2 linked regions of the Mytilus edulis genome follow. The protein of the gene in region 2 interacts with the protein of the main gene of each other region in a pairwise test. Links are inferred from orthologs where the notes say so. Each region holds a gene or a part of one and is shown on either strand. Other genes may lie near its edges.

The links.
Region 1: the proteins of recombining binding protein suppressor of hairless-like (region 2) and COP9 signalosome complex subunit 5 interact in a two-hybrid assay, tested with the Caenorhabditis elegans proteins (3 studies listed by BioGRID). The link is inferred for Mytilus edulis from reciprocal best matches to the Caenorhabditis elegans genes lag-1 and csn-5.

Annotation. Positions count from the first base shown.
Region 1 is NC_092344.1:10,554,793-10,571,662, reverse strand, and holds the start of COP9 signalosome complex subunit 5, read right to left. Parts: upstream 7,441-16,870; 5' UTR 7,330-7,440; coding exon 7,196-7,329; intron 3,134-7,195; coding exon 2,899-3,133; intron 2,245-2,898; coding exon 2,116-2,244; intron 1,410-2,115; coding exon 1,344-1,409; intron 764-1,343; coding exon 678-763; intron 1-677. Other genes in the region: brefeldin A-inhibited guanine nucleotide-exchange protein 1-like, read left to right, coding at 11,648-11,771, 12,923-12,953, 13,499-13,637, 15,207-15,353, 15,868-16,047, 16,456-16,536. UniProt on the Caenorhabditis elegans protein: Probable protease subunit of the COP9 signalosome complex (CSN), a complex involved in various cellular and developmental processes.
Region 2 is NC_092350.1:41,713,164-41,730,403, forward strand, and holds the start of recombining binding protein suppressor of hairless-like, read right to left. Parts: upstream 7,707-17,240; 5' UTR 7,245-7,706; coding exon 7,215-7,244; intron 3,954-7,214; coding exon 3,632-3,953; intron 1-3,631. Other genes in the region: ubiquitin carboxyl-terminal hydrolase MINDY-1-like, read left to right, coding at 8,824-8,944, 13,271-14,019, 14,608-14,714. UniProt on the Caenorhabditis elegans protein: Transcriptional regulator that plays a central role in lin-12/Notch and glp-1/Notch signaling pathways, involved in cell-cell communication that regulate a broad spectrum of cell-fate determinations.

The sequences.
Region 1 (16,870 bases), on a different chromosome or scaffold from region 2:
TTTAAAACATATTGTGACAAAGATATCTGTGTACTTCCTTATAAAACGATTTTTTTTTTTTAGATAATTGTGACACACTAGAATTTGAACTTAAGAGAAGTTCTAAATTATAACCTTTCAAGATTTTAGAACAACTTTTCATATAATCATAAAATTGTTATTCCTCTCTTCACATTGCTGATGAAGACAGTTTGATAAAATATAATGGATTAAACATGCTTTTGAAAATTTGTCATCAAAGAAAACTTTGTCAGATATACAAAAAGAGCTTAATTCCAATTTTCTCCTATTCTTGTAACTACATCTTTTTTTTCAAACAAGATGTACTGTAAGATAATAAAATTATACCCCTGCATATATAAAGAATGTATAACTTGTTATTGCTGAGAAAAGTGTGAACTAAATTTCATGTATGTGCATGACATTTTAAAGATACAAGTTTCAGGCAAAAAGGAAGCGGCATATTGAAGTAACTGAAAATGTATCACATGGCATGGCATAAACAGATTAAGATTGGTGTCATATATCAAGAACCTATGACATATGTTTGCTGAGAAAATGTGACAGAAATGTATATCTAACAAAAGGATAAACAGAGGTCAACCAATATACCTTTTCTTTTGAGCAGATTGAAAAAATACTTTTCAAAAATTTTAAGATACATAGTAGCAACTTACTGTTTACAGTGTACACCAAAATCTTCTATTTTACTGAGCGGTATAGACTGGTATTCAGATGGACCTTCATCTGGTGGCTTATAACCCTGAAAAAAGACAAATCAATTAATAAGTGAAAAATTTGTAAGGGGAACACAAAATCAAAAACGTTTTATAAAATATTGACAATATGAAATTTCACGAACAACATTATTACCTCTTTGAACATGTAAAATAACAAAATTTTATTTCAAATCATTTGAATCTGTTTAAATTTTCTATTTTCTATTCATTAATTCTTGATACAAAAGAGCATTGCATTCTTGTTAACACTTTTTTCAATAGTTTTGTTTTGTTACTGATTTTTTTTCCTAGGTTGCATTTGTCATTCAAACATCACAAAGCATAGTTAGACTAACAATTCTTATGATATTAAAAAAATATACATATGTACCTATCTTTTAGTGTCTTATTATGAATATATATTTTCAAAATATTTCTTTTTGTTTTAGCACAATTGCAGGTTAAATGAAAATCTACACTTTGCGTCTTTATTTCATATCATCTCACATTGTCTACAGTACATTCAACCTGAAAATAGTCTTTTTTAGGAATATGATCATTATACTGAGTATGTATTTATTTTCAATAACGATAAAATATTTGTTTATGACAATTAAGTATTACCTTTGGGTATGTCCTGAATGCACCAATGTTGACTTTTCCTGCTGAAATAGTTCTAACTGGATCTATCTGTTGAAATAAATAAAGATGAGAATCAGTCACAAGTTTGCTTTCTCATAATTTGTAAACTCATTGTAATTATAATTGGTTACCTTTGTCACAAAACCATAGGTGTTTTGTAGTTTGAAGTGTGTGCAATAGTATGTGTTTGTGTGTATTACAGATATAATTGTGTGCAATAGTATGTGTTTGTGTGTATTACAGCTATAAGTGTGTGCAATAGCATGTGTTGGTGTGTATTACAGCCTATATGGTTTATCTTATGTGAAAGCAGTTACAACAACACTTTAGGGATTGATGCATTTATTTAATGAGATGGAGATGTTTTGGAACCTTTCTTTTATATGTTTAAAATCTTCAAAAGAGCAAACCACTAATCATCTAGCTATATATTGATTATTTTCAAAGCTGATTTTATGAAAATCGGATTTTAAGAAATACAATCAAAACTTTAGGAAAACTATATGTTTTATATGATATTCAATATATTAACAAATATAGATCATGAATACTGAATATATATGATACTATTCAGTTTTCACATAAAAGTTGGCACAATAATATTTTATACAAAGGTACTTGCACAGAATAAAATATATAACAATCCTGCCAAAAAGAAAAATGTAGCACATCAATGGTAACTATCATCACAGTCAGGATGCAAGTCCCAAAGGTTTTTTTTATAGGATGAAGGTAATTAAAATAATGATGTTACCACAATAGCAACAAAAGGTTCCTGAAACTGTTGATTCAACATCTGTGTACTGACGTCTATACCAGATAACCAACAACCATATCCTGGATGGCTGTGATACCATCCTACAGCATTCTCTAATCTCCCAACCTGTAATGTATACAATCAAATATATAACATAACTACCATGACTACTTTAAGGATCTTACAGAATATTTTGAAACACCCTTAACTGAGTTGCAACTTTATACACATTGAAATATCAAAATATTGTTCATTTATTGCCTGTTATTAAAACTATCTGCAACTCTAGATCTCTTAGGGTTGTTCAATAAATTTCCAAAGATGCAATATTAAAATTAGACCGTTAAAAGCAGTTTAAAATCAAAGATTATATATATATATATATATGGATTTTATCTATACAAATTAGAGAACCAAGGTCCAAATGTTATTTTTACTTTTGTCCAATTAATAATTTGATTCCTGAATTAAAAGTTAAAATTCAAAAAACCTTATCACAAATTAACATAAGCAATAAAACTATATAGAGCAACATGGAATAGAATTGGAGATCAACATAAAAGACTGACAGACCATCACCAAACAATGTACAATAACCTCATTTACAGAACACAGGTAGGTAACTATTATAGCTTTTCTCATATATTTATATTGTATAATATCATGTGCTAGTCCCAATGTGGAAGTTTTTTGGGTTAATGATCAAGATCAAAGCAAATATCCCAAAGAGTTCATATTGTCACATGGTCAAATAAAAGCAACATCCTTATTATTGGTTACCTGTTTAGCAGATTCTGTGTAAGCAGCCATGTATTCATAGGCTTGTGACTGGGCATTAACTCTGGTTTCTGTCCCTTCTACAGGCAGTGCAAAACTGTCCATTACAATCATTGTGCTGCCATCTACTTTCCCCAGCAGGAGGCCCATGATTTCAAGATTACCTCCTGACCGGGCATGCATCACCATTTTAAGTAAAGCTAGGGCTGAAACTTTGATGTGTTTGAAGTAGTGTGGACTGAAAATAAAAAAGGTAGGTAGACATTTATAATGTTAACTTGTATTCTTTTATAAACATGTTGAGGACTTGTGTTGGACCATTTACATTATAAAATAAGATGCAGTATAATTGTTTGAATGACTGGTACCTTGAGGATTACCCTAGTATATAGGGCTTTTGATCTGCTGATTTATTTCAGTATAATGTTGACACAGAGATATGTCTTGCCTGTGTGTAATTTTGATAGTACAAATGTATATTGGAAATTCTGAAATTTATTTAAAGTCAATGAACATGATGAACAATAACTGGGAAGGCAGGGTCAAATAATATCTATGGAAATGAAATATGCTGAAACTAATAAAACTGTATACCAAATATCACAAACAATTGTTGACACTGCCGACACCAGAAACAGTACACAGTGAATTGGTTGAATTAAAAATATGAAAAAAACACTATGCACTGAGGTGGATATCTCTGACTGAAACACTACAAATTATTTTCAGAGGCCACACTGTCACTGCCAGGGCTATGTTGCCAATTTCAAATTTTATCTGTCTCACATTTTCTAGTCTACACTTGACAATTCTGCATCTGATAAAAATATATTCCTATAGCATTTGAAACATTTGCAACCTGAATCAAAAGCTTACTCATATGCACATATGAAAATAGGAAATCAAACAAAATTTTTCATTCGTGGCATTTCTTGTCAAAATAAATAAAAAATATGACTTTCATTTCTTTACACATTATAAGCAAGAACTCCAAATATGCTCCTTTTTGTCAGTTATCAGTAGTCAATTGCTTTTTAAAATGTAATTAAAAGTTTTAAATAGCTTATTGTTAGCAAGCAATATGAGTGAGGTGCAGCATGCTTCATGTGAAAGTGAACGAAGTCTGTATTTTGAACAATGTGTGTGCTTCATGTGAAAGAGAACAAAGTCTGTATTTTGAACAATGTATCTCTTTAAAATAATATTCTATTTTTTTATTTAAATATATAAAATAACTATGAATTTTATTCCTAATTCCACAAACAATGACAAATTCAGTATTTTACTTGGTCATTGATGTAATGACATTACAAAACCAATCATAATGACATTGTTACATTTAGTTATACATTTAATGGAAAATACTCTACATTATTGTCTTCTTGGTTAAATCCTGAACAATATTATGTAATCAGGTTAACACAAGAGTTATAAGGTCTCACACAAAAATGTCAACAAAAACATTCCAAATGTTTATAATACACCTTACAGTCATTCCCAAAAAATGGGTACAATTCGAATGTAGACACTGTTAAAAAATAAATTTCAACTGAGCAGAGAGAGAGTGTTGTTTTCTTCTGTGTCTATATCTAGTCTGTCATTTTTTTAATTTTTACTTACACCATTTTAGTTGTTTTCTAGTTTTAGCATTTTTTGTAAGACAAGGTAAGTATGAACGTATCGGAGGTTAGTGTTGTATAAAGTCATCTTAAAAATTGTATTAGAGAAAAACACAAGATTTAAATCCAGGCTCATGTGAAATGGGTTACGTTTACCACCATAGCAAACTGATTTATACGTATTATTCTGTATATATATACCAATTTTAAGGTCTGAATTAATATAGTGTTTAAAAAATAATTCAAATAAGTAGTTTTCACAACTTATTTAGTAATAAATTTAAACTAATGAAATGTTATGCTGTATAATATTTTAGTTTCATAATACAGCTTTCCAGGAAAAACCCTATTATTTATGTTTTGAATCACTTGTATGTATTTTTTATGCTTGTATTAATCCACACCCCCATCTTTGTTACGGAGGTTGATATCAAACCAGTATCTGAATGCTGATACATAGTAACACTTAACTCTTTAATGCTAGCTTTTCTAAACAATTTATTGACATTTCAAACTAAAAAAACTGTTTTCTATCAAGTTATATGTTTCTTTTAGTCAAATGAACTTGTTCTTGTCAAAATCTCCGTAACGATTCATGAACTTTCACTCAAAAATATGTTTTACCTAAACCGAATATTTTTCAACTTAATTTATTAGCTCTATACAGATAATGTCATCTTCCTTCACACCATAATGTATGTATTATACTCAACTATGAAGTTTTGGAGTCAAAATAGTTTCATTTCGAAAATTTCTATCCTCCGTAACGACATTTAAAACCTCCATAACGGACAATTCCAGTTCTTACCAACAGCAAACATATAAATGAATGTAAATATTGGAATTAAATGACAAACAAGACAACAGAATTAAACATTTTTCTTAGTAAATCGTTATCTAAAAAGAGAAAAGTCCTGTTAGAGAAAAAAAACTTTTTTTCCTTAAATTTCTATCCTCCGTAACGTAAATCAATGATGTCGTAGATATGATTGACATCACCTTTTGATATTTATTAGTGATAATTGATGAACTGATTTGGTATCTATAACAATGTAGAAGAATTTCAATTGGTATGATCGTGTTTACATGCATCTTTAGATTTTTTTATTTGCATAACCTCCGTTACATTGATGAGTCCTAAATAATCTTGAAAATGTTTGCCATAAACCGCTGTTAAAGTTATGATTGTCGTCGTAATTACACAAATTGTGTTGTAGACTATTTTAAATCTAAGAAAATGGCTGATATAACGTTTATTAAACGTTATAATGTTGTTCACATAATAGGGAAAAAACAAGTTAACCTACCTTTCTCAAAACAACATTTTTTTTCTCAAAATCTGTATTTTGTTTGTCTGTTTTCTTTATAATAAATGATGTCTGCTACAAAAATGACTTTCGGCAGTGTCGGCAGCCGCTGATACTGATAAAAAAGTCTGACAACTTAACTGTAAATAACTGCGTCACGGAGGTTATTTAAACGGAGGTTAGTTTTATTTACATTATACATGGAAATATGTAACAATATTGTTGAGTTGCTTTCTCAAAACTGATTATTGAGAAGCTTTATGGGTGCTTTCAATGAAATAATCATCATTTTGATTTGTTCTTGGTAAGTGCGTTCCAAAATACGCGTTACGTAGGTTGGATTCTTATATGCGACAATCGAAAAAAAGAGAAAGAGAAGATTTTTTTTAATTTTTCGTTTCATTGCACTAAAAGTTAAAGGCAGGATTTTAAAATTTGATGTATCAACTTTGCTTAAAGTCACTTTGGGCATGATTTCCAATCATATAAATATGTTTTGACTGTACCTAAAGATTCGTTACGGTAGGTTATACGTTTATCGGCGACATTGGTTTAATGGGTAAATCAAAGTGTATATTATAACTTTTGATTCTAAAATATTTTTGTGGATAAAAATCAATATAGTGTCAAATAAAAAAAGCAAATCTAATCATGATTTAGATGAAATAAAGTATTTTAATTCACACCGATATTTGGAGTTTTTCTTGGCGACATTCGGAATTCGTGTGATTTCCGTATATTGAATAGAAAATCACACAAATATATTTCTGATATACATCACAAAAGAATATGATTTTATTTTAGTATACATATTAATCACTTAGAACACGAAAAAGATTATCTGTGACATATGTTAAGCTTGCATTTTGTGGTTATTTGCCGGCGACACTGAAATTTTGTAATTGTACCCATTTTTTGGGAATGACTGCTTAACACTATAATACACCTTAATACAAACATATCATTGTTTGTGAGTGAATTGGTCAAGTTTATACACCAATAAATTCCTTTAAAAAGGCGTTTAATCCTGATAATAGTTTAAGTGTCACCAATATTCTCAGGTCAAGTGTCGCAGATTCCCGAAAAAAAACCCATAAGGTCCATTCTGTTATGCAGTCTATATATACATGATATATATAGAGTGTAAGGAAAATAAGACACTAGCAAGTTTTTAGGAAGCTTTATGATTTTCATTCAAAGTATGGTTTTATCATGTTTATATATATCTAAAATCAAATTATTCTGAAATTGAAAAAGAGATGAATATCAGCATGTTTATGATTAAATCTGCATTGTTCATCACTAAAATTTCCACAGTTTAATAAACTATTACTGGCTGACTTGAAGAATTTTTAACAGACTATTGACAATTACTCTTTATCCCATGGCTTTGCTGTAAGAATATCTTGTTGTTGTCTCTTGTCGTATCTGTATATTTCGTCCATACTGTTAACGTTCTCAACATTGTTTGACATTTCCCAAGTTTTAAATGCATTTTTCGCATCCATGATTATTTTTTTTAAGATTCTTGATTCTGGATTCTGATGTCAATTCAGAAACAAGGAACCATACAAAAGTCACAACATACTGGTTCAAAATTGTATATTTCTGATTTCCGTACGTTATACGGTATGTGAATTAATGTCTATTGAGATTGTTTTCTTATGATACCATTTAAGATAAAGTTAAACTACCATTATTTCAAACAACAAATCGCCACAACGAAATATAACAAAAGAATGTGTCATTCTGAATTAATTTGACAGTTAATCCCTTCGTAAAGTTTGGACAATCACATCACATGGGTATAAAAGATAAAGATATTTTATTTCCTAATCATAGGGCTCATAACAAGCATGTAATCATATACAGTAAAAATAAAAAGCCTTTCTCTCCCACTCGCATAGTGTTACACTCACACATACAACCATTTTATTTGTGCTTTTGTGTTTTTATCTCATAATTGCATGTATCAGTATGTGTTTAACTTATAAGATGCTTAACAAACTTTTGTGCTGCATGTTTATATACTGATATGAACTCTTGCTTTATATGTTTAATGTTTGTGTGCATGACTCGATATGTATGTTTTGTTTTACTTGTTGTTATGTCGGTTTTAAAAGCTCTTCAGATCTTTATTGTAATTGCTTGCTTATACCGACTCTAAATAAAGCTTTATGTCGTATGTCTAACTATCGTTCTGATTAAGGATGATTGATTTAACAGTACAACATGTAAATGAAAAATAAAATACAGATAAAAATACAGACACAAATGTATTTTTATTTTTTTTATGAGGAGTGTCAGTTGCCTACATTGTATATAAGATAAGATAAGATAAGAATTTTATTAATCTAATCAAGAACCCATAAAGGGCATCATTTTACAACACAATATGATTGGAAAAAGCAAAACAGAAAACTAATACCATACTATAACGTTATTGACAGGATCAGAGCCTGACACAACATGTGTCTTATATAACTATTATATTAAATGTTATAACAATAAAATATTATATTATTTCATATATTTTGTTTACATCTGGATCTTATTTCTAAACCTTTAATAATGTAATTTCCTAGGCACGTGAGAGTTAGTATATATAAAGTTATTGCTAATAGAGTCTGTATATAAATAAATTTGGTGTTTTTACTGTCTTCTGATTGGTTAAAATTATTAGTTTTATTTTCAATGTTGTCAATTTTCATGGTGACACGCCCACTCTGACATTGTGTATTCATACGCCATGTGTGTACGTTGTTATTGTTAATATAAAGAGTTCTTTGAGCCTAATTTTTTTTTATAGAAATTTATTTATAATGAATGGCAATAATTTATTTTGATTTTATTGAACCATAAAACTAATTTTTGACTCTTCACATTTTACATAATCCGCTTCGCGGATTATTCAATGTGAAGAGTCAAAAATTAGTTTTATGGTTCAATAAATTCAAAATGGATAATAGCCATTCATTAAATAATATCTGATTTGTACAAATTATAAACTTAAACTTTAATTAGTTTTCGAGTTTTGTCAAGAGCATAATACATTGGAACCAACTGAAAGACAATATTGTATGCGCAAATCGAGGCCCAAATACGGTTGAGAGATTCACGGCGGCAGCTCTCAAACACCGTCAACATGGTCAATAGGTCTCTCTTGTCTGTTGAATAAAAGCCAGAATTATCCGGTTCCTTACCTGGAAGAAGAAGAAGAACCTCATCTAGACCCTTATATATATCTTTATAAAAAATTTACTCCGGATTTCTCCGGATAACTAGGAAACCCAACTTAAGCAAATCAATACTTTATTACACATGTTACAACAAATATCTTTGATGAGTTTTTATTTCAGTCAAACATACTCTGACCATTAACATTTGTCCATGTGAAATGACATGAGCCAGTCTTTCTCCCATTTTATAGCTGTTACTTTCACGGTCTTCCTGAAGCTTTATTCAATCGTTTTGGCAAGTAATAGGCCGGTAAATAATCCTGTCATCTGCTTAGAGTCTTATCTGGCTGTGTTTTATGTAGTCAGGTAAGTCGTTAATACAAATGAGAATAATGTATTGGATTTTTTTTCAGATGTTGAGTTTTTGAGTAACTAACTAACTAACTAACTAATTTTATTCAGTATAAAATCCAGTACAAAAGGATCATCGGCTGAAACACATGAACACATATAAAAACATATACAAAACAAAACAACAATAAAACATAACAGCCAACAATTTTGACACTTATAATAAGCAAGAGACAAAACTCACACTTCAATATTATGAAATTATTCCCACTGAAGAATATCTAATCAAAATACATTCCCCATTTCCATTCTCAATTTTAGTCTATATATATAAGAAATCTGTTGAGAACACCAGTCTCCGAACAGTTCATTAAATATTTAAATTTATCAAAATTATCTAAATTACAAAAACATGGTATGATATTGACAATGTCATCATAAAACCTTTCTCTCTCGTCTTGATAGAGGTTGCATTCACATATAAAATGAAACTCATCTTCAATTTTGTTATCAATACAATGTTTACATATTCTTTGATCCAAAGGTGTATCATTATATCTGCCTTTTTCAATGTGTAAATTGTGGTTAGAAATTCTTAATTTTACATAATTGTCTAATATATAGTTTCGAGATATTTAACTTTGTATAAGTCTCAGGTTTATATTCCTTTTTAACTTGTAATATGTGCGTAGTTTGTTTTGCTTTTCACCTGACAAACATGAGAAAAAATAATTGCCATATCTTTCTTGTAATATCGTTTTCACTGCAGATATGAGTTTTCCTTCTGACATAGTTCCTTTATTATTCCAAACATGGTCAAAACGAATGAATTTTAGAAACTGAAAAATGTGTTTATTTAAGGTACATGGAAAGGTACAATCAACATCTTCGATTGACTTATATGCTAATTTTGAAAAATTCAAAAGAGGGTCTTTATACAAATATAGCCAGTATTTAAGAGACTGCAAAATAACAAATATAGAGATTGGATAACGACCAAGTTCTGCCATACTGGCAATATTAGAAGCATATTTAGTGACTGTTTGAGAAATGATTTAATCCATTGAGTTGGTTGATCTGAAATGTCGTATTATAGTGTTTAATCTGTAAAGTAAGTGTGTGTGTGGCACTTTATCAAATGCTTTGAAAAAATCCACAATTACTAGATTAGTTTGTATATTTCTATCATTGTTTTGAGCTAGTTTGGTGTATAAGAGATATTAATTATGATTCACATGATCTTTTTGCTCTGGGTCCGTGTTGTAGTTCATTTAGTATTTTATTTGTTTCAAGACGGTGTTTCATCATGTTACTAGCTAGTATTAGTTCAAGTTATTTACATGAAATGCAGGCAGGTGGTTACCCCTAGATATTTTGTTGTTGTTACATGTTCTAAAGAATGACTGTAGAATAATGACTGTTTTTTTGTCACGGTTTTTTTTAATTTCTGGTTACTGAAATAACATTACATTTGTCTGGGTGGAATGCCATTTTCCACGTAGTTTCCCATGATGTCAATTTGTCAAGATCTTTTTGTAATAGAGATGCATCAGAATTTCATTTCCAATTTAACTATGGTGTCATCTGCAAATAACCGCACTGTAAGACCAGTTGGGATATCGTTTATGTAGTGCAGGAAAAGACCGTGTCCAAGATCTGACCCCTGTGACTCGACTATGTCTCTGCCTGGAACAAATTTTGTTTTAACTGACTTCACACATCATGATGGTAAGTATCGGTGCAAATTATGTGAAAGTTCTTTTTTAAGTCTTGGTTTAAACAGAGACATATATACATGTGTATATATGTCTCTGGTTTAAATTATTTATGATCTGGTCCTGCTACTTTGATTTAACAAGGATTTGTATAGTAAGTCTTACTATACAAATCCTTGGATTTAAGTTTTTGTTTAAGTTTTAGTACACCTTCTGTTTTATGAATAATTTTGATGCAGTGATAGAATCTTTATATTCTCTCTCTCGTGCCGTTTTTACAAATAGTTTGAAACGTATCCGGTGGGATTTTCATTTAAAAAAAATAACATTAGTTGTTGTATGTTGTCCTTTATATGTGTTTTATGTTATTAGACATTCCTTATATAGTTCTGTACGGACATATTCTGTAAATAACTTAATCTATTTTGGACTGAAAAGGGTACCAGAATATATCGTCGGCATTTGGTCACGTGATTTGAATGGTGGACAACTGTTACAGGTGTTCCGTATTCCAACGAAACATTTGTTCATCAACAGAAATAACTTAACCTTTCTATTTGATATGTCGATTGATTGGCATAATGCGTAAAGGCAACAGGCCAAACGAAATGTTCCTTACAAGAGCTCTCGAGAAAATCTTGAGCGACAAAGAAATAAAAAAAGCTCATCACTCCCAACTGAAAAAAGCCTGTGAGGTGGCACTAGGTAAGTGAATCACATCATGAATTCTATTTCGGGTCATTTAACGTCTACGATGCTTATTTGTTATGATGGTTGAAAAAAAATTATCCGTAATTTTATGCATAGCAAAGGTTTTATAGTCTGTCTGATGAGTGATGTCTGATGACAGATGTGAGTGTACAAAAAAAATGTATACACTACAGGCAAATTTTGTTTTGAACCCAGTATTTCTGACCAATTGAAGAAAATTTACCAAAATGATATCCCATAAATACCATTTATTTTTTATTTGAGGCAGGTGCTACCTAATAAGTCATAGGATTTTACTTGTCTGTGACATCATCATGTACTTCTGATCATGTTGATCAATAGGTCATATCTGGAATCATGTCTTTCACCGGAAAAGATCGTCAATTTCGAACACCTTAATGACGTCATTTACCAGATAGAAGGCGCGCCTGTATCCCTGTTCTATTAAAAGTTTCCAGCACTTTCATAAACGTCAGTCTGTAGGGTAGTATAGAAATAATTAATGTTCCGTAAGTACATAATCGTGATTGCTGTATGAATGAGGGAGGATTTTTAATTTCCAAAATATTTTGTGCAGAATAAAATAATTTTTTTTTACCCGTTTGCTCAACATGTTTGAAATTTCTATGCATACATTTTTGTCAAGTGGTGATGGAAGTCACATGACAGATTCGTCTGAAAACCGTATCCCGGAACTGGCCTATAGACGTATTTACACTTGTATGCAAATTTGGCTTGTCTGGTTGTGGCTCAAGGCTGGTGCTACCTCGCAACTTGGAGATGGAAATCGCTTTCCCGTCTGTCACTACATTCACTTTTCCTACTGTCAAAAGCAATATTTTGTTGCCTGAGTGTTCACAACAGTCTCTTTTCTTATCAGCAATATTCCATATTTACATAGTCGATGATTATAAATAAAGAAATTTAAAGGCGGACAATTTATTTCTATAAAAAAGAGGCAAAGCATTGACATTAGAAATTGGTCCCATGTTATTTCTAAGAAAAACAAGTTTTTTTGAAGTACTTTTCTTTCACTTGCAGTTCTTGCTACTCAAGAGCATACATTAAAACATTCTGATTTTCAGAATATTAATCTATATAAGAATGTGATGACAATTACTTTTAATGTTCTATTTATGTTTCAGATCAACTAAAGAAAGAAAGCAGTGTTCAAAGGTAACATTAATTAAGTTTTTATGTTATTGTAATTACTTTTATTGCCATTTGCCAATATCTTGTGCCTCAAAGACTTGCAAGTTTTATTTATTTGTATATTACCATTTAAAGACTAAAATGGTCTTTGACTGCATCATACATATTATATTCTGCATTTAAACACATAGAACAGATATTGCTGGGTTTTGAAAGGTTGTTTTTCCATGGGGAGTGGGGTGAAGATATCAGGAATCAAGAAATGGTTTGCTAGATATGCGGAAAACAATGGAAAAGGACAGTACAAGTTTTTGTTGTTTGCAAAATAATAATTATGCAGTTTTGATATTCACACTAAACATATTCATTGTATATTGTTGCGAAATTTTCCTCAAGAAATCTACAAAATTAATAAATCATAAAAAAAATCACTTATAGTTTAGAATTCAGTGACAAAAGTTTTTATTACCATAAAATTCATATAGATGTATGTATAATAAGTATGATTAAAAAAACAAAGAGAAACTTGAAACATTGTTCAAAAATATAAGTTGTTGTTTATATTTTAGTGAAGACCAGTCATCATCAGCGTTACCTACACCTAAACAAGCTGGTTTTGTGGAAGCAGATAAATACTTCTTACCATTTGAACTAGCATGTCAATCCAAATGCTTCAGGATTGTAAATGTAGCACTAGACTGCTTACAGGTAAGCTAGCATTCTGTACAATATTGTGAGAATTATTCACCATTTTTATTGCTGACAAAAAGTTTTGTTTCATGAAAAAAGCACACAGAGAAGTTCTCTCTTGTTTTATTTTTTCTTCATTGCCATGTGACACACCAATATACTTTGAATTTGATATTTTCTGCCAAATCCTTTTAGGATTGTGAGATGTAAAGCTCTCATGATTATTTTTTAAATCCTTCAGAAGTTGACTGCGTTAGTATAACAGGGGTTTTGGCACTTGTTCCAGTCATTTGAAATTTTATCCCAAAGTCAAATGTTTCAGTTGTTACTATGCAAAAGTGACATAATTCTAAGAAATTTAATGGAGGAAAGAAGCAGGGCTTCCAAAAAATATTTGAGCCAGCCGGACATTTCATATCTGATTCCGATTTTAATTCCTTAAGACTTGGTCACAAAGGCAATTATGGTAATCAGATGGCCATTCCAATGATTGACATTGCATAAAAAAAAACGATTTTAAACTTTACTTTGATATGATATGAATTTGATGTTCGGATGTAACTGTTAAATTGGCAGTGCATCATTCAAAGTGTGCACATCAGCTTGCTCATATCTGCCTTAGACTTTTTATTTGTGCAAAATGACATTGTCAAATCTTTAGTTTCGTTTTCACATTGTTCTAACCGGATGTTGACTTGACAATGGTAAAACATGGACCATAAACGGATACGTAAAATCCCTGAATGTTTACAAAGCACGACTAAGTGAAGAAGCTCTTTCCATGTTATTTCTTCAACAAAATACTTGAAATGAACGTTAGATACAGGTATCGATGATAATTTTAGCATTTTTGAAGAAATGTAGGATGCATAATTAAATTTCCCACCTGTGCACATGCGCACACATGTTCTAGTTCATACGACGTAGTTCTGACGATTTTTCATTTAAAACCTTTTTAAATTTTTCATCAAATCATGTTGATAAACTAATTTCTAATAATTTTAATCTTTTGGACTAAATCAATAAGAAACAAACCGCTGAAAAGTAAGAAAAAAATTGTGAATAGACCGATCAATTTATACGATGTCTGGTACTGAACATAGTTCACCTGTCACCTGAACAGGTAGATTTCAGCTGTCCAACTACTAATTAGCCTTGATTAAAATTAGAAAGTATTGGATTAGGTGTTGTTTTGATAGTAATTAATCATCATGTCACATTTATGACCGGAAATGTGTTTATGTTAATGGCAAAAAGTTTGGGTCAAAAAGATCATGTATAAAATGACCGAAAAAGCCTTGAAAACTAAAAAGTATATGACCGTTTCATGCTTTGCCCAACCGGACTTTTACCGGACATTATACAAATGACCGGAATATATGACCGTTTTGGAAGCCTTGGAAAGAAGTAACTTTTCACTTATGTAAATATTTTTCTGAGATGAAAATGAACTATATTTTGTAACAAAGGTTCTACTAATAATAAGCATTTTGTTCAACTGATGATAGACATAATTATACACTATTTCTTGGTTTCCTTTTGAGCCAGGCATTTGAAATTGAATTGTATTACTGTTAATGATTACAGAAACTAATTGCCTATGGTCATCTGACTGGAAATGCCGTAGATACTACTTCTCCTGGTAAAAGGTTGATAGATCGCATTGTAGAGACGATTTGTGGATGTTTCCATGGACCACAGACAGATGAAGGTGTACAGTTACAGATTATAAAGGTTTGTTTCAATACAAAGTTCTAAACTTGACCCCTGAGAGCCAGTGTGCAAACAGGTTTAGATGAACTGACCTGGAGACCAATGAGATCTTGTTCATTTTTTTGAAATTGCCACTTCTAATTATCCAACCATTTGATTTACTGTTTGTATTAAGGAATTCTCATTTAGACAGATGTTGACCAACTTTTAAAACATCACGGAAATTTATCAATTTTAAAAATATTGTGTTAATAAAAATACTTTTAAAGTAAAATAATCAAATCTAGTTCTCAATACTCTCACATTGCATTTGTGTTTGTTGTATATACTTAGGAAATAATATATTGTAAGCATTTACTTAGCTACTAAAATCCATTTGGATTAACAAAATAATACTTTATTGTTGACTATACTGTAACTTGTAGTTTTATAAGGGGTTCTGAAAAAATATACAGATGTACATGATTTAAAATGAGGATTTAAGATTTCTTAAAGAGTAAACTTGTCAATTTGCAGTATTTTTCTTTTTTAACAGGCTCTATTGACAGTGGTTACATCAAATACAGTAGAAATACATGAGGGTACAGTTCTACAAACTGTCAGGACTTGTTATAATATCTATCTAGCTAGTAAAAACCTAGTTAACCAAACAACAGCTAAAGCTACCCTCACGCAGATGTTAAACGTCATATTCTCAAGAATGGAACTGCAGGCTGTAAGTAATAAAAGAATTACAAGGAAACTAGAAACAATGCCGTTAATTTGTGTATGTTATAATCTTAGAAAAAAGCTTCATTATACCAGATTTTACTTATAAAGACAATAAACTTGAATAGTTCTTTCGTCAGATTGGTTCTTGTTACTTATGAATCTACAATAAATGGACAATAATTATTACAGTTTTATTCTGTTGTGATAGCTTATCTCTGAAAATTTAAATTTGCAAAAACTCATAAAACATTTTACATATATATGTAGCATATTGGAAAACACAAATTTAAAATTAATTTAAATAAATGTATAAAAAGAAAATCCTGACAACAAAATGATACAGAAATGTTTCAGTATACAGTAGTTATGAATAGGTGTTAGATTGATTTGGTTGTTTATATTAACAATTTAGGCACAGGATTTAAAACAAAGAGACAGAAGCTCAAGCAAATTGTCCAAAAAATCAGATGAGTCAGAAGATGTACCAGAAAATGTAAGTGTAAATGAGTCAGAAGATGTACCAGAAAATGTAAGTGTAAATGAGTCAGAAGATGTACCAGAAAATGTAAGTGTAAATGAGTCAGAAGATGTACCAGAAAATGTAAGTGTAAATGAGTCAGAAGATGTACCAGAGAAAAGTGTAAGTGTAAACGAGTCAGAAGATGTACCAGAAAATGTAAGTGTAAATGAGTCAGAAGATGTACCAGAAAATGTAAGTGTAAATGAGTCAGAAGATGTACCAGAAAATGTAAGTGTAAACGAGTCAGAAGATGTACCAGAAAATGTAAGTGTAAACGAGTCAGAAGATGTACCAGAAAATGTAAGTG
Region 2 (17,240 bases):
GCTTTTCCCATACCACTGTTTGTCTTTCCTGAGGCTCAAAAGGGAAAATTACACACTTGTAAGGTTTGTGTCATTTAACCATTGATTATATCTTTAAACTTTTGTAAAAGTGCAAGTATACTTCAATTGATATGTACCAATTTATATAAGAAGGAAGAATTTATCGATTCATTTCTATATATCAAGGGAAATTCAAGTTGGATTTATAATTAAAATTAATTGGTTTAAACACATAAAAATGATGATTTAAAAAATACTTCAAAATGGTAATGTTGGTGGCCATATTGGATTTCCAATCATGTAAATAAAGGTTACAATGTACTAAATCATGGGTGCAGCCATTTTATGAAGGGAACATGACATATAGATAACAAGAGTGCACACGCTGAAATGTCTCGCTTTCTATACTAATCATTGATATTATGTTGATAGTCCTAAGTATAAAGCTAAGCTTAATTACAACTGTCACATAAACTTAACATTAACCAAGATAACTAAACAAAGACCAATGAACCGTGAAAATGAGGTCAAGGTCAGATGAACCATGCCAGACAGACATGTACAGCTAACAATGCTTCTATACAACATATATAGTTGACCTATTGCTTATAGTTTAAGAAAAATAGACCAAAACACAAAAACTTAACACTGTGCAATGAACCGTGAAAATGAGGTCACGATCAAATAAACCTGCGCAACTGACATAAAGATCATAAAATATTTCCATACATCAAATATAGTTGACCTATGGCATATAGTATTAGATAAAAGACCAAAACTCAAAAACTTAACTTTGACCAATGAGGTCAAGGTCAGATGACACCTGAAAGTTGGACATGTACACCTTACAGTCCTTCCATACACCGAATATACTAGCCCTATTGCTTATAGTATCTGAGATATGGACTTGACCACCAAAACTTAACCTTGTTCACTGATCCATGAAATGAGGTCAAGGTCAAGTGAAAACTGTCTGACAAACATGAGGACCTTGCAAGGTACGCACATATCAAATATTGTTATCCTATTACTTATAATAAGAGAGAATTCAACATTACAAAAGCTCTGAACCTTTTTTTCAAGTGGTCACTGAACCATGAAAATAGTTGATTCAAAACGCCATTTAAGGAGATGATTGATAAAAATAGCATTGCTGGCAATGGGGCCAACATTTACTACTTTCTGGAACTAACAGAGCCACCATTTTGAATTCTGATTTTTTTGGGTATACATAATTGTCTCACAAAATAAACATAGTCACATTTTTAGCCTAAAAATCTTCTTTTTGTAAACATTTTATTGAAACCATTTTGAAGCATTTGAAAGTTATAAGTACATCTAGGGATCATATTTGATATTGTGAGTATACGTATGACATCACTTTTTATCTCACTTAGTAACATCCACATTCAAGATCTCAATTTTGATAAGGGTAGTCAGTCTTCCTGTAAAAGGTCAGTGGTTCATTTTCTCAAGATACTCCCAATTTCTCCACAAAAATAAAACAGAGTTCCAATGTCCACCGCATATTGCACTTATTTAATATTTCCGAAGGGGCATAACTCTTTAAAAAGTTGATCGTCCACCATTTAAGAACTTGTCCAAGATGTTGCTGATATTAACCTACAGTATAAGTTTTATAAAAATCTTACAAGAATTGTACTCATGAGAGTTAACTTGGCCACTTTCAATAAATTTAATATTTCCATGGGGCATAACTCTTAAAAAATGTAATCGTCCACCATTTTAAAACATGACTGCAGAGATAGTATACAGTGGCTTTTGCAGTTAAGCTAAACATCCAATACATTCTTCCTCACGTAAAAATTACTTCATAAATTCTGCTACAACTATCATTTATGAACAGTTTAAATAACAGAAAATTAAGCAGAAACAACTGACAAAACTAACATACATGTACATTGTAGCCATCCAATTTACATGATGTTCAAGAAACTATTTAAACCTATGAAACAAATTATCAAAGAGAAACTTGATATCTTGTCGGATATTGTCAACTGATTTGGCCTAAATCATGCTTATAATGATCCTATTCTACAAAGAACCTTCAACTATTTGTTAAATTAATCAATTTCTGCTTGTTAATTTAATTGTGTAAAATAAGGCAGTGCTTGTTTGATTTCCAATCGCTATCAATACTTCTGTTTACATCCCTTATAGATTAATGGTCATTTAACCCACAGAAATATATTTAGGCCAAATATAAAAGATGTGTTTCCTATTACTCCACCTCCTCTATTTTTTAAGCATAGAAATAGCCTACCCTAAATAAAATTTCATTTTTTCAATAAGCACTGTTAAAGTCAGAATTTCTCTTCCATATATAGACTGCAATAAAACAAAATTAAAAAAAAACTCTACCTACCTACATTGTTTGTAACTACTCAATTTTTTTTTTAAAGATGTAATCATGGTAATAGAAAACACACATATTATTTTGTTTGGCCTTATCAGGACATCAACAAATCATAATGAAACAGTTTTATAAAAGATTAAGGCAATCTATAGAAACTATTAGACATTTGTTCTTTAAAAGAACTGGTACTACAAAATGAATGGATTTGCATGGTTACAAGCAACTAATGTATACATTAGTACATGTACATAAGTTTAAATGAAAAAGTCTAATCATTGGATATACAGATTAAAATATGCATCAAGCAGTGTGATCTTTCAAAGCATTTTATTGGGATGATAAAAATCAATTACAGTGCATCAATGAACTGGATCATTTCAGGGAGTTACTATTTAATCCATTAATATTTTGTGCCTTATTTAAGTTCTCATGAAGATTTGAAACATTCCATCTAAATTACATAATGTACACTTAATACTCTGTCGTGACTATCATGTCACTTGTACTATTAACACTTGCATTACATTTTTAACTAAAACTTAGAAGCAACAGAAATTTACTTGTGTTTGAATCTCATAAACCCTTCAATAAGATAAGAAAAAAAAAAGAAAAAAAAATTAATGGAAGCATATGATCTCCAAAAAGTAATAAGATGCATTGACAAGGTTGGTTTCTCTTGGCCTTGCAATGAATATGCAGCACTAGCAATGTAAATCCACAATTAGAAGACTATTTTAAATATTTTAAATTTATTCTGCATATTTGAGACTGTGAAAAATGTCAACTATTCACAAAAGAAATATTAAATATCCAATTACAAATGTACCATGAACTGACCAATTATGTTTTATTCTTTACAAAAATAATAATAGGTTACATTTTTCAGTTATCTCCCTTGGCTTATAACTGTTTAGCTAGAACATAGATTCTTGAATATTGTGGAAACTTTATGCAACTTGTGTAAATGCTTGTTTGAAGAGAATAAAAAGTGTATGAATCAAAAGCAAGACAATTGTGGTGGTAGGGATTAAAAAGCATTTTTTTCAATCTTCACACCAAAAATCATTTCAGTTTTTTGAAATGAGGCATTTCATGGATAAACTTTCCTGAACTAGATTATATAAGGTCCACCAACGGTGCAAGGGCTGTATAGCCAGTCAACGTCACTAAAAACTTCCATTTGATGATATAAGGTCCTGTTTTTATGATTTATAACAAAATGTACAATGGATAACAATAAGGAGTTTAACTGACCTTGTTCCCTATGACTGCCCATAATGGGTGTCCTTTCTCGTTGATATCCTCCATTTTGCACAGATTCACTCTTAATATAACCATTCACATTGATCAATTTACTAGACAAGTCTACGGGATTTTCATACCCGCCTTGAGCCATATGACCATTTAGGTTTCTACGTGTCGAACAGACGTTTTCTTGTCCCTGATACAAATTTTCATCATTTTGTAACATGTATCTTGCATCAGTAAAATGTCCACTGTGTCCATTTTGGGCCTGAGGTGTGCAGTGTTCATAATGTGGGTCTGCCAATGCTTCTATTGTGTATCCATAGCCTGCCTAACAGATATAACATTAAACATGATTAAACAATGTGTATAATCTACCCAAGGGCCAAGGCTCATGCAAGCTTGCGACTTAAGGGCTACAACCTTCATACATTTTGTAATACTAGATACATGTTCATGTACAAATTAAAGAACCTTAGTGAGGACGCTCACATACCCCACGTCCCCACATTGTCATTGGAGAAATTAAATAAGTATAAGAAAAAAAAATTGTATAAGAAAAAATACTGAATAATAATTTCCTGTCAATATACACATCTCCATAGTATGTCCTTATTATCTACAAAATTTCATGAAATTCTGTTGTGTGTTTTCAGAGGAGTTGAGATGACAAACTGTTGCAGAAGTACATTGAAGCAAATAAGTTCAAAGGGGCATAACTCCTAGAAAAAAATTGAATTGTAATTTCCTGTTGATATGCACATCTACGTAGTATGTCCTTATTATCTACAAAGTTTCATGAAATTCTGTTCTGTGGTTTCAGAAGAGTTGAGATGACAAACTGTTGAAGTACAACATGTAGTACATAATGTATCTTAAAGCAAATAAGTTCAAAGAGGCGTACATGTAACTCCTAGAAAAAAATTGAATCGTGATTTCCTGTCGATATGCACATCTACATAGTATGTCCTTATTATCTGAAAAGGTTTCATGAAATTCTGTTATGTAGTTTCAGAGGAGTTGCGATGACAAACTGTTGCAGTAGTACATTGAAGCAAATAAGTTCAAAGGGGCATAACTCCTAGAAAAAAATTGAATTGTAATTTCCTGTTGATATGCACATCTACGTAGTATGTCCTTATTATCTACAAAGTTTCATGAAATTCTGTTCTGTGGTTTCAGAAGAGTTGAGATGACAAACTGTTGAAGTACAACATGTAGTACATAATGTATCTTAAAGCAAATAAGTTCAAAGAGGCGTACATGTAACTCCTAGAAAAAAATTGAATCGTGATTTCCTGTCGATATGCACATCTACATAGTATGTCCTTATTATCTGAAAAGGTTTCATGAAATTCTGTTATGTAGTTTCAGAGGAGTTGCGATGACAAACTGTTGCAGTAGTACATTGAAGCAAATAAGTTCAAAGGGGCGTAACTCCTAAAAATAAAATTGAATCGTAATTTTCTGTCGATATGCACATCTACGTAGTATGTCCTTATTATCTACAAAGTTTCATGAAATTCTGTTCTGTGGTTTCAGAAGAGTTGAGATGACAAACTGTTGAAGTACAACATGTAGTATCTTAAAGCAAATAAGTTCAAAGAGGCGTACATGTAACTCCTAGAAAAAAATTGAATCGTGATTTCCGGTCGATATGCACATCTACATAGTATGTCCTTATTATCTGAAAAGGTTTCATGAAATTCTGTTATGTAGTTTCAGAGGAGTTGCGATGACAAACTGTTGCAGTAGTACATTGAAGCAAATAAGTTCAAAGGGGCGTAACTCCTAAAAATAAAATTGAATCGTAATTTCCTGTCGATATGCACAACTACATAATATGTCCTTTTCATATAAAAAGATTTTGTGAAATTCGGTTGTGTGGTTTGAGAGGAGTTGTGATGACAAGAAACAGGACTGACGGACGAAAGGGTCAAAAACATTATACCCTCCGCAATTGTAATTAACATACTTTTTTATTTAAACAGTCTTATTTTTAGTTTAAGTCAGGAGAATCCTTGATATTAATAAGTTGAAATTAACTTTGACTACATGTAATTAGCTTTCATCAACTATACATGTATGTAAGTACTCTTTCATACGTGTACTTTGCATCTTTTGTCTTTTTGATAGAACATGTACTTCTTACATCTGAGGAATCAAGCCATTTCCAATTGATTTTTTAATTTACAGTTGGTTCTGTTGTGTTGTTGTACATCTTTCTAATTTGATCTCTTCTGTCTCATTGGCAATTGAATTTAGTAGTGTCAGCCCTTTGATTATGACCCGTGTATATAGCAAAATCCTAAATACACCGTTTGGTGGTGCGCCTGTCAAATGCGGAACGTACAGATAAGGTAATATCTAACAGGTGAATATATACTATTGGTATCGGTATCGGATTAGACCCGGAACTTGTTAATTATTGGCAATATTTATAATTATGTGGAAAACAAAAGGGTCTGGAGTGGTGTAATTTTTAATCTACACCATTGTCCTATATTAGTTATATATAGAGTTGAATTCTTTGATTTGTCGTTTTTACCCGATGACGGCTGACAAATTGGACCTCGTAATTTTAGTATTATAGATATCAATGTTCTATGACAAGAAGTTCCTATCAAACTAACTTAATATTGAAAATTGATTATTAATTCAAAAGTTGCTAAACCATGACCATGATAACCTACGGTACAGGGTCTTGAAGTAGTCATCAATATACTGATAGTAAATTTTAAGCAACTTTATAAATATAATGATGTCGACATGTGATAATAGTTCCTATCAAATTTACTCGAGTACAAAACTCTGAAAAAATTGTTGAAAAAGATGACAATTTTCTTCATTTTCTTCGAAAAATCTATCCATACATGTATGTTTGGCTTTCTGCAACTTTAGTTGTAGCAAGACAATAATAGGGTACAAGCGGAATGAGTTGCAAATGTGTGAGTTGTACACAATCTAAAGGAGTGAATAAACCTTAAAACCATTTTTTTCACTCATTTCAGCAAAAGATCACCAGTGCATTATTTTTTTGGTGACCTCAAACTAAAATAACACTAGCTAAAGATGTGAACAGTTTGCATATTTTATAATAACAGTGTGCATTTTTTATTAAGTTTCTTCTTACATAAAACTTACAAGAACATTCTTACATTTTAATTCATCAGAATTATACATGCAAGTTTTTAATATTTTATAAATTTGTAAGCTCCTGTGAAAACTGCATGACTTGGCAAACAAATTTTATTTGTCCAACTATTCTATTGAAAATAAAATTGCCTTTGTATTTAAACTTTAAAATTCAGCCTTTAATTTAAGTAAACAATCTTTTAAATTGTTGATGATTAATCATGTAAATATCAACCACTTGTTACAAAGTATACAAAACCGTGGGAAAAATTCCCACGAGTGTAAACTCATTAGCGGTGTCTGTGAGGTCAACTTCTAAAGGTCAAAACAACTCTGGTGATCATTTCCAATATAAAGAAAACTTTTGATGAAATGATAAAATATTGCACAATATATCAAATCGTATTATTTCTCTTCGTCAGACAAATAAAATTGAACATAATGATTGTAGACTCACCTGGGAAACATATAACTGTTGATTATTCATCTTGAAAATATCGGAAAATGTTCAAAAAGAAATCAATCAGTCAGGTGTTAACTGCATTATAATTCTGAGCACTTGTCCAAATTTGATATATAACACGAGTCAACATAACAAGCTCATCTATAATACGTATCCTTTCATTTGCAATGAGTTACCACTGCTTTTTGTTTTACTCCTAAAAAGAGCCAGATTCAAGTTGTAAATAACCTAGAAGACCCGTGGGAAAACACATTTGCATCTTTGATCGTGAGAACAATGATCAAGGGCTGTTACAATCCACTCCCCCTTATCCACTTTTAGAAAAGGGACCATATGGAGATTAAAATAGTTTTTGGTTACGTTCTATACGTGATAAACTTTTGCAATAAATATTTCATTATCAATTATTCATTATATAAATAAAATATTCCATCAAATCAAATTAAAATAGCAAATTCCGGCATGATAAGCCTTCTGTAAGAAAGTAGGTGCATTAAATTAAACAGCCAATTACAGAGAACGTCGCGTGCCGATTGGCTGTTGACTTTACGATTCTAGCAGGTGTTCCCACGGCATCATTCAATCTAGGACAGTCACAAATTTGCAAACTTCACTGGTGCACCATCGAATGCAGCGTGATAGATGCCACAAACAACGCTATTTGCAGTATAGTGCAGTGTGCGATTAAGCTGATACTGACTGGATAGTTTTCCACTTGAACAAATTACAGTTGAATATTTTGACCTGTTGACCCACTTTCAGAAGTTCCCAAGTGAGCCAACATCCAGGCTTACCAGAATCCATCTAGTATCCAACATTAAAGATCCAAAAATTTGATGACCAGCTTTCATATGGAAGAAATTCTGAACCCAACCACCTTTTCAAGCGTAGTTAAATCTTTAAAATTGTACATACTTATATTGACATTTAATTTAATAGATTTATACATTACCGGTGTTTTTAAACTTTATTATTATTTTTTTCAAGAAAATAATTAAATGCTTTCAAGCTTTAAAACTACTCACCGACAGTTACTGATGCTGTCCTGGATCAAGAGGTCAAAACTTCAGGAAAGTTCATTCAACTTTAACAATACCAAAAAAAATCTAGGTTGATGCTTTTATAGCATATCAATATTCCAAAGTATATTCAATCCATCAGTGTCCTGCATTAATTTAGATGTTATATAAGTTAAAGCAACGGAATAATAAGATGAAATGCAAGTGGGACCCAAGTTTCAGAACTTTGCAAGATGGCGCATATTTGTTGTCAATGGGCATGCCCTATTTTGTACCTCTTATTCTTCTGAGTTGTTTGAAAGTACTCAGTGGGCCAATAAGTATACAATTTAAGACCTTTAAACCAAGAGAACGGAACGACTGTGAACATTTTCTTGGGAAAAAACGCCCAAACACATGTCACTACAAATTTATTATATTCTATGAGCAAATTTATCCCTCATTGAACCCCTGGGAAAATTTGTAGTATTAGAGTCGAGGTTAAGTGTGGCGAGAAAAATGGCGAGAGTTGTTTACAGTTGAAGCAAAAAGCAACACAAAAAAAGAACATTGTGTAATAACCTGCTTGCACTAATTTTGCTATCATGTCTGCAAACGACAATATTATCGCCGATTTAAATGTCAATACCAGCAATTCAAATAAAACCGATTCTGGTGAAATCAATGCTGTAATTACTCGAATTGATGACGCATCGTCAAACCCTGGTAAGTCATGCCACGATTTAGCATAACTTTTGGCTTTATCACTGAAATAGAACATCATTTTTTATACAGAAAACAGACACAAAACTTTTGTTATTGTCTTTTAAAAAAAAGCCAAATGTTGCAAAAAATAAAGTGAAACCACACATATGGACTTTTTGCCAATTTTTGTCAAAATTTAGATCTTCATGCACTTTTTAAAAATTGCATGCCAAAAAGTATATGTTAGTAAAACACTTGTCATTTTTAGTTTTGTAACCAACATGAATACCCTGTCATGTTGTGGTTACCATCTAAAATTAAAATGACGAGTTTTCTATTTTTGTTTAAAACAACATATGTATGTAAGTGATACAAAGCTCCTTAATCTTAACTTATGATATCGTGAAGTCATATGTTTTCATTACTAATCAGTTCTAGATAGCAATGTGCATAGTTAAAATAAAAGTAGGTTCGCGAAATCGCACCTGCATGACGGTATTTTAAGGACAGATTGAGAATAAAAACTTGCTTCAAGCAATCATTAATTTCAACATTTCAAGATTTATGACATTTATAACAGTAAAGATAATATTTTCCGATTTTAGCCTACTTTACGTTATCCCCAAAACAACCCCAACTTCATCCCCTCGGTTCATAAATAGCATAGTTTCAAATGTAAACAAAACTTAGCTCGAAAAGAAGGATAAGTCCACATACGTAATACACAATTGTAAGAATTGGGGCCTAAATTAAAATATTGTTTGTTTGCCCTTTTCCGACCCTATGTTTTGAAACAGGGTAGGTAGGTAGGTAAAATATTTTATTTTTTTCCCCAAAAAAATTACTTGACTCTGTATATTTTTTTACATGGGTAGGCAGGTAGGTATAATATTTTATTTTATAGATACAAAATCTGCATAATGTCATTTTTTGTCTGTTTTGCATTTGCTTATAAGTTTGTGGGACAACGTTTTGAAAAAAAAAATATCATGTAGAATGTGAAGTTAATTCATATGGCTTTTTTTTTGCACTACTATTTTGTTTTCAAATATCAAAATAAAGAGCTGTGTCGCATATTTTCAACGTTCATTTATGCCTGTAACTTTGAAGAGATTTAAATTGCACTAATATTCTGTACTACATACCTTGTGTGCTTACCTCTACCTAAAGGTTTTCTGTAAGAGATTACTTTGTCCAGGTTAAATATGTCCGGGCAGACATACATTACTATAAGAAAAAGTCCCTAGAGTGTTTAAATTTCCGTGTGTGCCCATGTTTCCAATAAAAATGCTACAAAACTTGAACTCAATTGTCACGTATTTTACATCGCATTTATAAATGATTTGTATGGAAAACTTTGGTGATTTTACTGCCAAATATTCTCCACTTTACAGGCTTTTGTCACCTTTGGTTCATGTCAGATATAAATAATATGGCAATGCTGGTCGAAGGCATCGTTAACCATGATAATCATCCTAATCTACGGATCACAAAAGGCCATCCCTACATAAAATACAACGTCCGTTTACACAAAATAGTTTGTACAGACGTTAATAATTTTTTATTAAACAAACTTTTTTGTAAATGAACCCTGCTCTTCAAGTAAAAAGATGCAGAGTTAACGTACGTCATATCATTATTTCAAAGCGTTTAACATCGATTTCAAACAAATGCTTTGAAACTCTATGCATGCTATATGCAAGTGTGCATGTCAAACCCTCACGTGATACCAAACGGACTTGACCTTATACGATAAAGATGAAACCCGAGGATTCCGGTAAAAAAGTTTTGAGCGGGAAATACAAATATAAGATTTTTGGTAGGACGAAAAAATAAAATAAAATCTTGCTGGTAAATGCAAATTAAAGATTTTCAGGCGGAACGAATTTATAGGGTTGGTCGGTAAAGGGCAAACAAACAATATTTTAATTTAAGGTAGCACAATACAAAGATTTTTCATCCCCAATCATACATCTTTAAACTGATGTAATTCCACTCATCTTTCTTTGAATTTTATAAATGAGGTACCAAAAGAAAGAAGAAGGATTAATCTTTCAAATTGTGATAATTTCATTATGACATAATTATTACATCATTAATTGTTATGTAATTAGTTGCCATATTGTGATGTCTATACTTGAATGAATTTAGCTTCTTTGTTTTTCATAGCATCCCAAAATATTTTATAGATTCTTGCACAACACAGTTTGACCTCCAAAACTGTGTCTCAGATTTTTCCTATTGTATTTCATTCTCTCATAAATCTTCAATGAAGTTTGCAACATGAAATCATAAGAGACCACTAAATTCAATTGGGTATAAAATTTGTTCTATTGATGTTTTTGGAAATCTGAGACACAGTTTTGGAGGTCAAGCTGTGTTGTACAAGAATCTATAAAATATTTTGGGATGCTATGAAGAACAAAGAAGCTAAATTCATTCAAGTGTGGACATCACAATATAGCAACTAATTACATAATAATTAATTATGTAATAATTATGTCATAATGAAATTATCACAATTTGAAAGATTAATCTTTCTTCCTTCTTTTGGTACCTCATTTATAAAATATAAAGACGGATAAAATGAATTACATCAGTTTAAAGTTGTCTGATTAGGAGTGACAAAATCTTTGTATTGTGCTACCTTAAGCCTGGTGTGACGTCGCTATGGAAAAAATTCTATGGAACGCAGTTTGTGCCATATCTTATCAACTATAAAATTAATTCAATTAGATTATCGGAAAAGTAATGCCCTTAAATATTGTTTATGAAATTGTTACTGTGACAAAAAATATTTATAACAGCTGTGACAACATCTAATGATAAATAAGGATTGGTTCAATAATTTAAAATCATCTAAAATTAATATTCAATGCATTTTTTTGACCTTTAGTGATGATTCCTTGGATATCAGTTAAAGATGCCTTAATTGATCGATAAGGCTAAAAGTTCATAAAAAAATATGTTTTCTAGAGACAAATGATAGTGAATTGATACTTTTCTTCAATTTGCGTAATTTGAAATCTTCTATTCATATCAAAGTGAAACATGCTCACCATACTATACTTTTCACAACTATCGAGAACTGATCAATGACGTATTGTTCTGACACAATGTCAAAATTGAGCACAACAACAAATGTTTTGATTTTTTCTTGAATTACACTAGAGAAAATTGTGAGGATAATAGGAAATGAATAAAAGTATCTACTAAATTAACACAATCAGCTTTAACAACATTTTTTGAAGAACTGGCCCTATGGAGCAAAAATGTGTTACACTATCGAGAACTGATAACACTAGGATACCACTTATGATACCACTATACTTTTTTAAAATTATAGACCAATTTAAAGTTGATTTTTTTATGCCCCACTTAGGGGCATTATGTTTTTTGATGTGTGCATCTTTCCTTTCGTCAGTCTGGACCACTTTAGGTTCTTGGTTAAAGTTTTTGGTCAAGGTAGTTTTTGATACAGTTGAAGTCCAATCAACTTGAAACTTAGTACACATGTTTCCCTATGATACATGTATGATCGTTCTTAATTTAATGCCAAATTAGAGTTTTGATCCCCTTTTCACAGTCCACTGAACGTAGAAAATGAAAGTGCGCTTCAGGTTCCCTATGACATGATCTTTCTTATATAATGCTAAATTGCCAAATTAATTAGAGTCTTGACCTCAATCATGTGTCAATTACTAATTTATGTTTATTTCATGGAAAGGAATATTCTACAAAACTAAAACCAGAACGAAATATGATTCTGAAACTATTTTATCTTAAATTATTTATATTAAATTATTTTGAGATTGTATATCTAATTGGTCATAGCTAGCCAATTGCAAGATCTCAAAAGATTGACAATGGACGTGTGAACCGGTGAACCCAAAATTAATATAAATGCAATGCACATTTTGTAGGAAAATATAGACAGATATAAATTATTAGCAGGGGTAAAAGTTTTCCCTTGCTTGATTTCATATCATAAATAAAAATTAAATTATTGGTTACATCATTGTTAAACTGTATAAGAATGATTATTTTTTGCAGGCCCACACAAATAATGAAATTAGTTCCCTATTTTCAATTTTCAGGTAATACAGTTTTCAATAACAGAATAACTAGACTTGTTGACCACATGTCCAAAACAACCAATCAAAATACAGAGTACAAATACAAATTAGGGTTAGTTATTGTCTTGCAAGTTAATAATATGTCAGCAATTTTTTTAAGCCATATTTCATTTTGACAAACTAAACGAAGGTGACTGCTGAGTGTGAACTGTTATCTTATATTTCTATCTTGTAACTGTTTGAAACTTGAAAAAACATATTTACTTTTCAGGATCTGATGATGTAGAAGAAATGTGTTTAGGGGATACCACAACAATGGATCAAAGTCAACCAGATGTTTATACTCCTCCAGGAGAAGATAAGTCAGTTTCAAACAGTGACAGTGTAACAGGAGAATCTATGGAAACAGATAAATGGGCGTTGCCATCTACCAAAAGAAATGAAAAGTCTAATGATATTGATAAAGAAACAAACAATAGCAGCAAACAGAATGAAGTGTCTGGAAATGAGGAATTAAAAGTGGAATTACCTCCCTTGAAAAAAGACACCTCTGAGATGTCAGACTCTAAAAATGACTCGCAGATGTCAGATACTAAATATTCAGATTTGTCAAAATTTCAAAGTTCAGAATCAGAAATTTCAAATTCAGAGACAATGTCTGTGAAGTTACCTCCCTTAGAAGGGGACAGAACAGAATCAGAGAAAAATAATGGTGCTACATTACAGGACTCATTAAAACCAGAAACTACAGATTGTGAAAATGAGCGTTCTCAATCTCCAATGGATGACAAATCTAGTTGTGGATCTTTAGAGGGTGTTTATCAAATTAAATGGGCAAAGTTCAAAGGAAAAGAAGTACCTATTATAACACAGAATGAAAATGGACCTTGCCCATTGTTGGCAATCATGAATGTTTTATTATTAAAAGGAAAAATCAAATTTAGTTCTGATACTGAAATAATTTCCTCCGAACAAATGATGGCACATCTAGGTGAATGTATATTTGCCAATAAACCACAGGTAAAATATTAACTGCCAGTCTAAAGAAAGAATCAGGCAATTTTGAAAAAAAATCAAAACATTCCAAAAAAACCAACTAGCAACATAAAATCAACATGTTAATTGACAAAAAATTATTGAATAGGTTAGAATTGGTTAAATTCATTGAGAATAAGAGAAAACGTTATATCATAGCAGGCATATTTATTTGGCAAGTTGATGTTAGAGAGAGAATAACCAATCTAATCTAATCAAGAACCCATAAAGGGCATCATTTAACAACAATATTATGCACAATATTATTGGAAAAAGCAAAACAGAAACCTAATACCATACTATAACTTTATGGGCAGGATCAGAGCCTAACACAACATGTGTCTTACATAACTATTACATGAAATCTCATAATATAATAATAAGATATTATTTCATATATTTTGTTTACATCTGGATCTTATTTCTAAACCTTTAATTATGTAATTTCCTGGCACATGAGAGTTGGTAAATGCTCATTCGTGAAATTATTCTGCCTCATGACTTGAACATTTACATTTGATGTCATTTAGAATTTTTGAAAATTTTTATTTATCATTTTGGTTTATATTTCAGAATGCTACAGAGGTTGTGCAATTAAATTATGAACAGAACATGCAGGATGCCATGGCTGTTATTCATAAACTACAAACAGGGCTTGACGTTAATGTTAGATTTAACAGGTAGGTATGAAATACAAACAGGTCTTGATATTAGTATTAAACTTAATGGGTACCAGTAAGTATGAAATACATGTACAAACTGGTCCCAATGTTAATATTAGATCTAATGGGTACCAGTAAGTATTTCATACAAACTGGTCTGGATGTTAATACAATGTATTAGATTTAATGGGTACCAGTAAGTATGAAATACATATACAAACTGGTACGGATGATAATATTAGATCTAATGGGTACCAGTAAGTATGAAAAGCAAACTGGTATGGATGTTAATGTTAGATCTAAAGGGTACCAGTAAGTCACATAAGTTTGAAATACAAACTGGCCCGAGACCACAATTAATTCCTCTATCAGTTCTTTATAATTTGTCTCATTGAAAAAAATCTACCTGTGTCTTTTGTCAGATCTTTTGTGAGTGTAATGTACTGTACAAGTCCAAAAATATATCCAAGTTTCAGAAAAATTGCTGGTATAGATTTTGCAAATTTAGCCAATACACATCCATACCCCTATGGACAAGTCGAGAGATGTTCCGAAAACTGTAAATATTACTTTTTTGCACCTGGCTTAATCACTCTTTCCATATTAAAATCAGTTAAAATAAAGCATCCAAAAGTTTATTTCAGCTCTCTTCTTTCATTTCCATCCCAAAAAAATTAAGAAATATATGAGAAAGGGAAAGAAAAAAAAATAAAGAAAAAATACACTGTAATTAAAGGGAACTATATTCGTGAACAACGAAAAGCAGGGTCATTAATTGTGGTCTTGGGCCTATTTGGGGCCAAATACTTGACCAATACCAATAAAACTTAGCATGATTTAAGCTTAGTGTATTATGAGTCAGTTTACAAAGTTTCAAAGCCATATGATATATATTAAAGAAAATGTGGCATTTTTTATATCTCAACTTTGGTTGCTGAGTTGTGATGTTGAAATAGAACAATTTCAACTTTCAAATTTTGGCTTCAAAAATGCCACAAAAACAATAAATTGCACTTTTTAATGTCTCAATGTATAAGATATTATTTATTGAAAGAAATATTTAGCATACTAAATGCATCAGAAAATGGACCAACAGTTGATTTTATATGACCCTGTGCCAAAAAATAGAGGTTTTCAAATGAAGCGAGACTTTATAATATAATATATGAAATGTAATATTTTATTTTTACTTACAAGAATTTTCTGAAATTGTTTAGTTAAATCAAAACCTTCTACATATCATAAATGTTCTTTTTATGTAAATATAAGTTACAAATACAATGTAGCATAACACATGAGAATGACATGGTCTTAAGCAATGTCAAGCTTAAAAAAACAAGTTGTCAATTTAGGCCGTTCCCTATATTTTCATATTAAATTGCATATAAATGAAATGGGAGATGGAAATAGGCTTCTTTTTGCTCAAATCCTTGCTGAGATATGATCAAATATGAAGCCTGGATGTAACAAGACTGCTGCTTTTAACTATATATGTAGATAGTATGGTCTGATGTAAAGTTTATTCACTTTACTGTTTAAAACCAGCATGAAATTTCGGCCTCAAAAGGACAATATTTTAACCATCAGTCATCCAACAGAAGAAAATAAAGGTTGTCTGTGAAACAGACAAGGTTCAACAACCAGTAATAAGGGCTTTTGATATAGATTCAGTGCAATCAGTTTAAGGAATACAATTTTTTTAAGTGCATAGAGCTTCACATTTCACTTGCTTCATACGGACCGTTAGACTTAGACCATTAAAACAGCACTTTGCACTCTTTTTATGTTTATGTATATCTACTTTTTCTTTGTGTTCAGAGTTCACAAATGAGAAAACAACTGAAATTAATATCACAAACACTAATAGATATCAGAAAACACCTGTCAAAGAAAAAGTAATGATGCCGCTTTTGCAAAAATATTGAAAAAAGTGAAAAAGCTACATTTTGGGCAGATAAGCTGAAAAGTGACTTTTTTTTTACAAATTTCCATTTCTTCTCATGTAGTTTGACAAATTAATACCAATAGATCATTCAGAGAAGCTGTCAAAGTAAAAATTCTAAATTTGCTGAAATGCACCTCTTAGGCCCGAGACCACAATTAATTCTTCTATCAGTTCTTTATAACGTTTTGTCCCATTAAAAAAAATCTACCTGTGTCTTTTGTCAAATCTTTTGTGAATGTAATGTACTGTACAAGTCCAAAAATATATCCAAGTTTCAGAAAAGTTGCTGGTATAGATTTTACAAATTTAGTCAATACACATCCATACCCCTATGGACAAGTCAAGAGATGTCCGAAAACTGTAAATATTACCTTTTTGCACCTGGCCTAATCACTCTTTCCATATCAAAATCGGTTAAAATAAAACATCCAAAAGTTTATTTCAGCTCTCTTCTTTCATTTCCACCCCAAAAAAAATAAGAAATATATGAGAAAGGGAAAGAAAAAAAATAAAGAAAAAATACACTGTATTTAAAGGGAACTATTTTCATGAACAATGAAAAGCGGGATCATTAATTGTGGTCTTGGGCCAACTGGTGT